Linked DNA regions of Nothobranchius furzeri. The protein of the gene in region 1 purifies or fractionates together with the protein of each later gene. This does not show direct contact. Links are inferred from orthologs where the notes say so. Each region holds a gene or a part of one and is shown in the gene's direction. Other genes may lie near its edges.

Evidence for each region.
Region 2: the proteins of selenos (region 1) and derl1 purify together in Homo sapiens (affinity purification with western blotting; 6 studies listed by BioGRID and IntAct, with this or other methods). This does not show direct contact. The link is inferred for Nothobranchius furzeri from reciprocal best matches to the Homo sapiens genes SELENOS and DERL1.

What each region holds. Positions count from the first base shown.
Region 1 is NC_091749.1:6,253,732-6,258,516, forward strand, and holds the start of selenos (selenoprotein S), read left to right. Parts: upstream 1-1,440; 5' UTR 1,441-1,737; coding exon 1,738-1,813; intron 1,814-4,785. UniProt on the Homo sapiens protein: Involved in the degradation process of misfolded endoplasmic reticulum (ER) luminal proteins. Participates in the transfer of misfolded proteins from the ER to the cytosol, where they are destroyed by the proteasome in a ubiquitin-dependent manner.
Region 2 is NC_091745.1:56,655,913-56,660,698, reverse strand, and holds derl1 (derlin-1), read left to right. Parts: upstream 1-1,508; 5' UTR 1,509-1,663; coding exon 1,664-1,816; intron 1,817-2,552; coding exon 2,553-2,664; intron 2,665-2,744; coding exon 2,745-2,809; intron 2,810-3,370; coding exon 3,371-3,397; intron 3,398-3,492; coding exon 3,493-3,588; intron 3,589-3,863; coding exon 3,864-3,916; intron 3,917-4,008; coding exon 4,009-4,119; intron 4,120-4,296; coding exon 4,297-4,423; 3' UTR 4,424-4,713; downstream 4,714-4,786. UniProt on the Homo sapiens protein: Functional component of endoplasmic reticulum-associated degradation (ERAD) for misfolded lumenal proteins. Forms homotetramers which encircle a large channel traversing the endoplasmic reticulum (ER) membrane.

The sequences.
Region 1 (4,785 bases):
GATTTTACTATATAAAAAATAATAATAATCAACTTGTCCTCCATGTTTGCTCGGAGATGTACGGAGCATCCTGTCCGCTCATTGGTCAGTGAATGAAACCTCCGTTGATTGGTCCTCGCCCGAGCGACAGCGATGAAAAGTTGAAAATGTTTCAACTTTCTTGGATCGCATCGCTGGGTCGTCTGTGCACGACACGTGCACGAGTGCAAATTTTCACACGCACGTTTTTCGCGTTTCGCTTGGTAGGAGAGAGACTCGCGATTATCGCTTTGTCGCGTATGTCTCATTGAAAATGAATGGAGGAGAGGCGATGTCGCCTCCCGTGTGTCGAGCCCATAAGAGGAGAGGCGAACCGCGAAGTCCAGGAAGGTATGGTTCTTTCCAGGTGAGTAATCCAGTAAGGTTCTGCTTCTTGGATAGAGGATAATATCCAACAAACCCAGAGCGTCAGGGAAGATTGTCCAGTAATCCTGGAGAGAGGATACAAAACTTGAGTCCAAAAATCCAACACAAGAGTCCAAGAATAATCCAAGAAATTCTCCAAGCCAATTATCTACTTAAAAACCAAGCAACCTAGAACGAGTGGCCAAAATACTACCATGAGTAGTTAATCATCCAGCACTGTGTAGTGGTTCCCTCTCCTCTTAAATAGAGCTCTGCTGCGGATGACCTGAGAAGCTGCAGCTGCCACTGATTGCTAATACCCTGCAGCTGGTGAGCTCCCTCTCCTGAAATGAAGAGCTCAAAGATGTTATAGAGATGAGGAGTACTCACCCCACCACACAACAGTAATACCACATATAGGAGTAGTAGTTAGGGAAAGAACTCCAGATCATTTATCTGTGTACACAGTGGAGATGATAGCTATCTTATTTAGTCTTCAATGGATGGAACAAAATAGAATTAAAAAAGGAATTATATGTACTGATTTGTTATCTGTATTAGTGTCAGTTAAATGTATGTCTACCAAGAGTCGAATAGCTTTATTATATGAGATTATGAGACCATATTTAGATTAAGGAAATTGGGTGCGGAAGTTAAATTTTTATGGGTACCAGCACATAAAGGAGTAGAAGGAAATGCATATAGTGCCGCTGAAATTAAATCTATCATTAAAGCACATATAATGGACGAGTGGCAAAGAATGTGGGAAAGGCGACAGAAAGGAAGACATTTGTTTCAGATACAAGGGAAAGTAGGAAAATGGAAAAATATAAGAATGAATAGTAGAGATGAAAGAATAATATCAAGATTAAGAATGGGACATACTGGGCTTAATAATACGATGCATCTGATAAGGGAAACATCCCACAGGTTTGTGTGGATGTGGGGTGGGGGGAGAAACAGTGGAACATGTTTTAAGTGACTGCATAAAATATGAGGAAAGTAGAGGACAACTCAGGGAGAAACTAAAAAACATAGGAGGTGGAGTGATAAATGTAAAAAATTTGTTAAATGGTGAAGGAAGGAAATATAAGTTGGTTATTGAGTTTCTAAAACACAGTGGTCTGTTGAATAGAATTATTTTTTTTATTTTTATTTTTACGTTCTTACTCCGACTCACACTCCAGCACAGTAGGTGGCGGAAATGCACCTAGCAGTCAGATGCCACCCGCCAGAAAACACGAAGAAGAAGAAGATCTCGCGATAAGTGTGCAGAAGCGGCTGTGACAGAGGAAGCTTCCAGAAGTCCGTAGCTTCCTAAGTTTTGGTCCGCTCGTCGTGCTGGGCTCAGCGATGGACAGTGTGCGTGACTCATCTGGTCAAAACCGTCCCCCGGAGAACCAGGACCTGCCTTTTCTGAGCATCTTAGGTAGGTGACGTGTCGGAACCAGTCTGTCGCGAGAACGGGCGTCGCAGAAAATGGCTAGAAGCTACTTTAAGTCATACTCGCACTATTAACTCGGGTTTCTTCCGCGTGATTCATGAAAACGAGTTGTTGTTGGAGATGAATTAAAGAATTTAGGTTTGTCACTTTATGTTCGGATGTGTTTGTTACGAATGAAGAAGGCGTGTCTTGATTTTTTCTTCCTCCTAGTTTCTAAGCACGGCTCACATTCCTGCTTCAACCAACATCCCAACAGTTTTTTTATTATGAAATTATGACAATACAGCGTAAACAAACCTTTAGTAATAAAATTTATGTATAAAGGATAAGAACTTATCAGTCATCAAATAGAGAAAAAGTACAAAGTGTATCAGACCATGTCAATGAACAGAAGGAAAAGGGAAGGAGAAATTGATAACAAGAACACATTTAAGTATTGTTACGTATTTGTAAACTTTAACATTATTCATAAAGCAGTTTCAAAAGGTCAAATAGGATATGTGTTTTGTCTAATTTGCAATGTTTTAATGATTCTTTCAAAAGAAGTACTTCGTTTTTTAAAGCAGCGAGAGGTTTTCAAGTAACGGCACTTATGGATAAACTATTTAGCCAATATAATCAAATTGTTAATCCCAAATTGTAAAGTTTTATTAACTGTTTGTAAACCAAATCAAATAGTTTAAAATGTTAACAGGGGGAAGTGTATATATATATATTTGCATTATCCAGTGCTGAAAAGCTAACAAAAACATTAGTATTATCCATCACACCAATGGAAAAGGTGCTCTGCTGTTTCAACATCATTAGTGCAGAAAGACGCATGCATTTATGTCGATGTTGAACTTCTTGTGTAAACAATCATTTGATGGATAAATGGCATGCAAAATTTAGGAGTGGTTTTCTTTTGCTTTAGGTGGAATTGGGAAGGAAATGTATTGAATCAAAAAGCTGGAATTAGAGCCTCTAAGTAGGTGTTTTCGTTTGAGTTGTGATGGAAAATATTGTTTGGTGAGAGTCGTTCTTAAAAATATGTTGTTACATGCCTTTCCCTTAAAAGGACATCCTTCAGTTATTAAAGATGGCTCTCTAAGGATACAATTGGAATAAGCTAGGCTGGCTTTAGCCATCTGAATCACTGGTGGGGGAATGGCTTTCATAAGCTTGGCGAGTTTTTGTCTAGAACAAATAATGTCATATCTTTCAGTGAAATCATTGTATGATGAAGGATTCCCATCACCATCTAATAGATAGTAAACTGTCCAAACTCCACGATCCATCCAATCCTGATAGAAAACAGATTTTCTATGAATTAAGATGCTCCTATTATTCCAGATTGATGTTGTGTGAGGGGAACAATTGTGCTGATATATCAGCTTCCAGTACTGAAGGGCCTGTTCATGAAAATTTGATAGATTGACTGGTAATTTTGATATTTCAAAGTCACACTTAAGGAGAAATTCAACACCTCCAATGTTTGCAAATATCACTTTGGGGAGAAAAAAACCAAATTAGGGTTGTCACGGTATGAAAATTTAACCTCACGGTTATTGTGACCAAAATTATCACGGTTTTCGGTATTATCGCAGTATTTTTTAAACGGTGTTGCATATGTTCAGAAAGCATTGATAGTCCTGTTCTACACAAACTGAAATAGTTCTGAAAAGGTTTAACAGTGTTTATTAAACCTAAAATAACACAAAGCCTTAGCAAAAGTGCAACTTTTCACAAGTAAAGGAACAAATAGCTTCTTTTTCTGGAACATGTTACAGTAGTCAGTGCAGGTTTAAATTATACAAATCCAAACATTCAAAACATAAACAATATGTAAACAAATCAAAGAAACACCACTTGTTTTCTCATATACTTGTTTTCTTCATTATCAAAATGAAAATCTAAAACTCCAGTCCACACTTGACTTGAGCACTGTACAAGTCAACCTTAAAAAATATGTATTTAAAATAAATAGCCACTTTAAACAAATTACTAAAATAACTACTACACTATGTAATCAAATCCAAATGTTCAAGTATAAATGGCATTGAATAAGTAAACAAATCAATGACAAGGAACTAATTGTATATTTCTCTTCATCATCAACAAATGAGATGCTTCATCCAGCAACAGGGTGTCCGTGACACGGTTTAAATGCTGGCAGAGGGCGCTGCGGCTGCAGTATATGGTGACTCGTTGCATTCTCCCTCAGCCAAAAGTCCTCACATCATGCATTTAAGCTAAAATGCTAATGTTAACTTACCTTGCACTGGCTGTAGAGACGTGGGCGATGGTCACGCAGATGTGCCATTAGATTCGAAGTGTTGCTGCCTTTTGCAGACACCTGCTTCTGCACGTTCCGCAAACGGGATAGCCGTCTTCTATTAACTGTCCCTCAGCATTTTTCAGAAATCCAAAATATGCCCATACTTCCGATTTAGTCTTCTTTGAGGGCTGATGGATGTCCTGGGCGCTGCCGTCTCCTCCTTCGGCCATTATTTCAGCTTCAAAGTTTTGGTGCCGTCGCAAACTAAAAAGTGCGTGTGCGCGCCGCGGGAACTTCAGCTGAAGCGACGGTGGCTGGTAAGGGTCACCGCGCTGAAACCGCGGCCACGGTAAACCCACCGAGATAATTTAGTTTTTTAAAAACTGGACGGTTATTTTTATTGTCAACTTTTTTACCGGGGTTTACCGCTATACCGGTTACCGTGACAACCCTAAACCAAATATTGTTAAATTTCTTTAAAAAAGATTGCAGCCATTTTATTTTGATGGACCCATTCGTTGACTCAAAATCAATTGCATTTAATCCTCCTCCTTCAAATGACTTCACTGTTCCTGATAGAATGGTGTCTGGTTTTCTAAATATAGTTGAAGTTCGTTTGATTTACCTTTTTGATTAATCCATTAGATAAAGATAAACATTGTGAGGGATAAATCAGCTGAGAAATACCTTCTGTTTTAGT
Region 2 (4,786 bases), on another chromosome or scaffold:
CTGGCTGTTCGCTCTGTTGGGACAAAAAAAATTGAGCTGACAAACCTGGCGCTGCAGTCTGCTTCCAGCACTATTCCTGCATTTAGTGGCTGCCAAATACTTATTTTTTTTAAGACTGATGATAATTTGGTGTCTGTAGGTTCAAGATTTAAAAGTGCCACAGAAGCATTTTTATAATTTAAATTCAATGAAATTCCTTAGACTTAACTAAGGAAGGATGGTTTCTGGGTTTATTTGCATCTGTCTGAACATCTGTCCTCTTCAGGTTTGTGTTCATCCACCACACTATGGGCAAGCACAATTTCAAGCATAATGCAATAAATACAACCGAAAAACATTAAATTATCATTTTAATCATTATGATACATTCTAACATATAAAACAGGTTACGCTAGACGAATCTTCTCCAGGATAACATCTTCCTACTCTTGCTTAAAATGCTGATAATTTATTGTCCATCCATTCATTCATTTTCTTCTGCCTATCTGGGGATGGGTCATGAGGGCATTATGTTCCAGAGTCTAATTTTCAGATTAGCATGAAACATGCAAATCAAATAAACACCAGCAGATAAAGCAGATCCATCACTCATTCCTGGCTACTGGATCTGTTCCATCGAAACAGGACAGAAAAAGTACAATAATCAACAAAAAATAAAAACAAACAAACAAACCACATCAATGCAAGGCTATGCTATCAGACAAATTGCCACAGCATAAAAAGTCACCAGTACTTAACAAAAAAAATTGTAATGTGATTTTTTTTTATTTCCAAAGGTGTGAACGCATCACTTTCAAAAGGTGCATGTAAGCTCCTGAACAAGACACGCCCCTTTACTTTGTTGGCTTCTTCTGAGTGGTTTAGAATCTGCTTTGCAAATTTAACAGGAAATGATTTGAAAACATCTAGAAAGTCTCCTTAGATAATTACGGTATATCCGGTTCTCATTCTGTCCTTCAAAATAAGAGCGCTGCTGTTCAAAATGAAATAAATTACTGATGATATAAGTTAATGAGATAATGCATATGGTTTAGCAAAAACTATGTTCTGCATCAATTGTATTCCAATGAAAAGTTATTGTTTGAATCTTGACTTACGCAAAAGGTAAAAAAGAAGAATTTTTGAAAATCGTGTTCTAAAAAGACAATTTAAAAAATACCAGTATTTTTGTACACATTTAAAGAAATTTTATTTTGTTTCATTTTATTGTTGTGTCCTTTTTTTATTGAAATTGATACATTTAAAAAATGTTTGTTCACGTTTGTGTATTCAGTATTTAGCATGTCACATTGTGCCCATTTCGTTGCATCTTACCCAATTCTGTGAATTGAACCAGAATAAAGGATATACTGTATTTTTCTAACTTTTTTTTATATCATCTGTTTTTCTTTTACTATCTAGTTTCACAGGCTTTCTGAATCTCGGCCTTTAAAAAAAAGTTCCTTTTTATTTTGAAAAGCTGTACCGGAACTTTTCGTTCTGAAAGTGAGCTCTGCAAATGCAAAGCTGTGATTAGCCCTTAGCCACGTCACGTAAACTTAGCAGTGGACGAGCTAATCGTTCAAGACTAAAGACTTGTAGTTTTAAGAGGTCCTGGGTTCTTTTCAAAGTGACTTTTTTTTTACATTTCGGACTTGTAGGTTAGCAGAAGACTTTTGAGAAGATGTCGGACATCGGGAACTGGTTCAGAAGCATCCCTTTAATCACCCGGTGGTGGTTCGCTGCTTCCATTGCTTTTCCTTTGATAGGAAGACTAGGATTGGTTTATCATAGCAACCTTGTGCTTATTCCGGAGCTCGTCTTTAACAAATTTCAGGTACGCACTTCAGTGATTTGTTCATCCGTGTCGGCAAAAGGATCAGTTATCATTTTTTACTCTCTGTTTATGTATTCGGTTAGCTAGCAGGTGGCTAACCATGACAGGCCTGAATCCCGACATGGCAGGATCTGTTTTCCGGATGCTGTCTATAAAACTCAGTGCGTGTTATTCGGGTGTTATTACATAAATACTAGGTTCAGAAAGATGTTCTGAAATGTCACCAAAAAAAGAAAAAACAAACAAAAAAAAACACGGAGTTTTAATGTGACAAAATACCAGCGTTAGATGATTTGATAAAGGACAGCTATTTTGTTTTTAGTATGCTGTTCTCACGGCGTCCACAAGGCGGCGACAATGTCTTGAGTAGTGACGAAGCGTGTTGGGCATTGTCTCTGGCTGCTGGAGCTTCAATATCAGATACAGGAAAGAATGTCGGATTTTAGGCGCAGGATTTCAATTCAGTTAAAAATACTTTATTTGAAACGCTAACTGCACGTGCTTGTTTATTATTATACAGGAGATCACATAACTCATTAAACGAATTTAACACCTTAAATTAAAATGCAAATTCCATTAATAGGCAAATAGACCTTCGGCTAAAATGTTTGTGTTGATCCTGCTTTATGTAAAGATCTTCACCCTTTAATTATCCTTATTTGTAATCTACGGGGTGCTGACTGTGTCAATATCACATAGTATTTTGAGGATTAATGCTTGTTTTTATTTGTTTCAGCTCTGGAGGCCAGTCACTGCCACCTTTTATTTTCCCATCACCCCTCAAACCGGATTCCTTTATTTGGTCAACCTTTATTTTTTGTACCATTACTCCACTCGGCTGGAGACATGTAAGACCGCTGCCATCCTGTGACTACTCCTCTCTGTAGTTTAAATGTTCTCTGCATCTGATGTTTTTTGTGTTTTTCAGCTGAGTTTAATGGCAGACCTGCAGACTATGTTTTTATGCTGCTCTTTAACTGGATCTGCATTCTTGTATCCTTTAACCAGCGCCCATTTAAGCCATAAGCTGTAAGCTTTTTACAATCAGAGGTGTATGGCGTTTCCTCCTGTATTTTTTCCTCTCCTTCCTGCACCTCTTCTCTCTCTGCAGCAGTGTACAATGTCAGGGTGGCTCTGTGCCAGTGGCCCAGTGTCAGTCTACCCCTGCAGAGTGGAGAAACCTAATCTAGGTTACATGCAGCACCAGCAGTCCAGCCCACACCTTAGCTCCATGCTGCTTTGTCGGGAGTTCAGCCCTGATTGTTAGCTCCTAAGGCTTTTCATAGCTATTTCTTAGCTATAAGATTGAAGAATAACATTTATCCACAAAAATATTTGGCTTTTACTGCAGGAAGAGGTAGGAATAAATACGATATTGAAGGAGTGATGGCCCCAGATCCCTTATTCTGAAGTGGAGAAGGCAGATGTGACTGCTAGGTCCTTTAAGAGCTGAAGTGGGGATTGAAGTGGGCGACCGTCCCACGAGCAGCTGCTCTGATCCTGAAATTCCAAATGATTCCAGCGTGTTGTCCTTGACTTGGAGTGTGTGTGTAGATAACTGCGATGCTGATGAACATGCATGTGAGTTTTCTTCTGTATTTACACCAAAACATGAGTTATGGACTACTTCACTCAAAGCTACAGCTGAACTAGAGCTTTAACGTCTGTGTTCTCAGCTGCTGATGATCCCGCTGATCCTGTCCGCGCTGTACGTCTGGGCTCAGTTCAACAAAAACACCATCGTCTCCTTCTGGTTCGGAACACGTTTCAAGGTATTCTCCTCAGAACTGTAAACGGCAACATCAGGACAAACACTAGGGAGGGGTAGGGGATGGATTAAGACCTGGCATTCCCTACAGGAATCACCTGCTGCCTCAAACACCACAGATCAACACTTCTCCTTATGCTGAGAAATTAAACTTTTAGATGTTAATCAGTTAATCATTGTCTGGCCGTTGCTTCAAAATTCACACAGTAGCTCACAATTGTGGTTGCTAAGCAGCAGCAGATATCTACACCTACTGACGAGGGGTGTGCTCTGTTCTAGGCTCATTATCTACCGTGGGTCATCTTGGCCTTCAACTTTATCATCGGAGGCTCGTAAGTCTCATTTCTAACTGAATTCTGTTATGATTATCAAGCAGCTTGCTGTTATGGTGCTCCTGTGACCTTTGACCCTCCATTTTATGCAGATTTGTGAACGAGCTGACGGGGAACCTGGTGGGCCACCTTTACTTCTTCCTGATGTACAAGTATCCCATGGATCTGGGAGGACGCTCCTTCCTCTCCACACCAGAGTTCTTGTAAGACTTAGAAGGAAAAACTTCCACTTTTGATATAAATCATCACAGCTGGTGTGATTACTCCGTTCTTACTGAAGCTGTGCTTTTTACCTTCGCTTTCTGAATTGGATTCATGGATTTGTTCCTCCAGATTACCTTGAATTATATTTTTACTGAGCACCTCCCTCCCATGTGCAGGCATCGGTTCTTCCCCAATCACAGAGAAGTGTCAGGCTTTGGAGCTGTTCCGGGACGGAGGCCTGCTGCCCAGGAGCGAGGAGGAGGCCACAGCTGGGGACAGGGCTTTCGGCTCGGCGGGGAATGAGACGATTACCTCCTCTTCTAGCTTCCCCCAACAGACTGGGCTGAGATTCGTGCTTCCTCATGTTTGATGCTTTCGAGAGAACAAAAAGCTGTTGCCTCCAGTTTCGACAGACTGATCATTTTAAAAAGTTCCAGCAGGATGAAATGTGAGGAAGTGTTTTAACTAGAGCTGGCCTAGGGCCATGGCCCCGCAGGGCCCTTGTTCACTAAGTGCGGTCGTTCCTGCGTCTGTGTGAAGCAGAGACTAAACACACATGCCAGCCTCTCATTTCTGCCTTCTCCCCTCCATTAGACTGTACAGCAGCAGGCTGTAGGTTCTGGCCCCGCCCCCTCTGTGATGCCATGTCAGATTACACTGTAATTA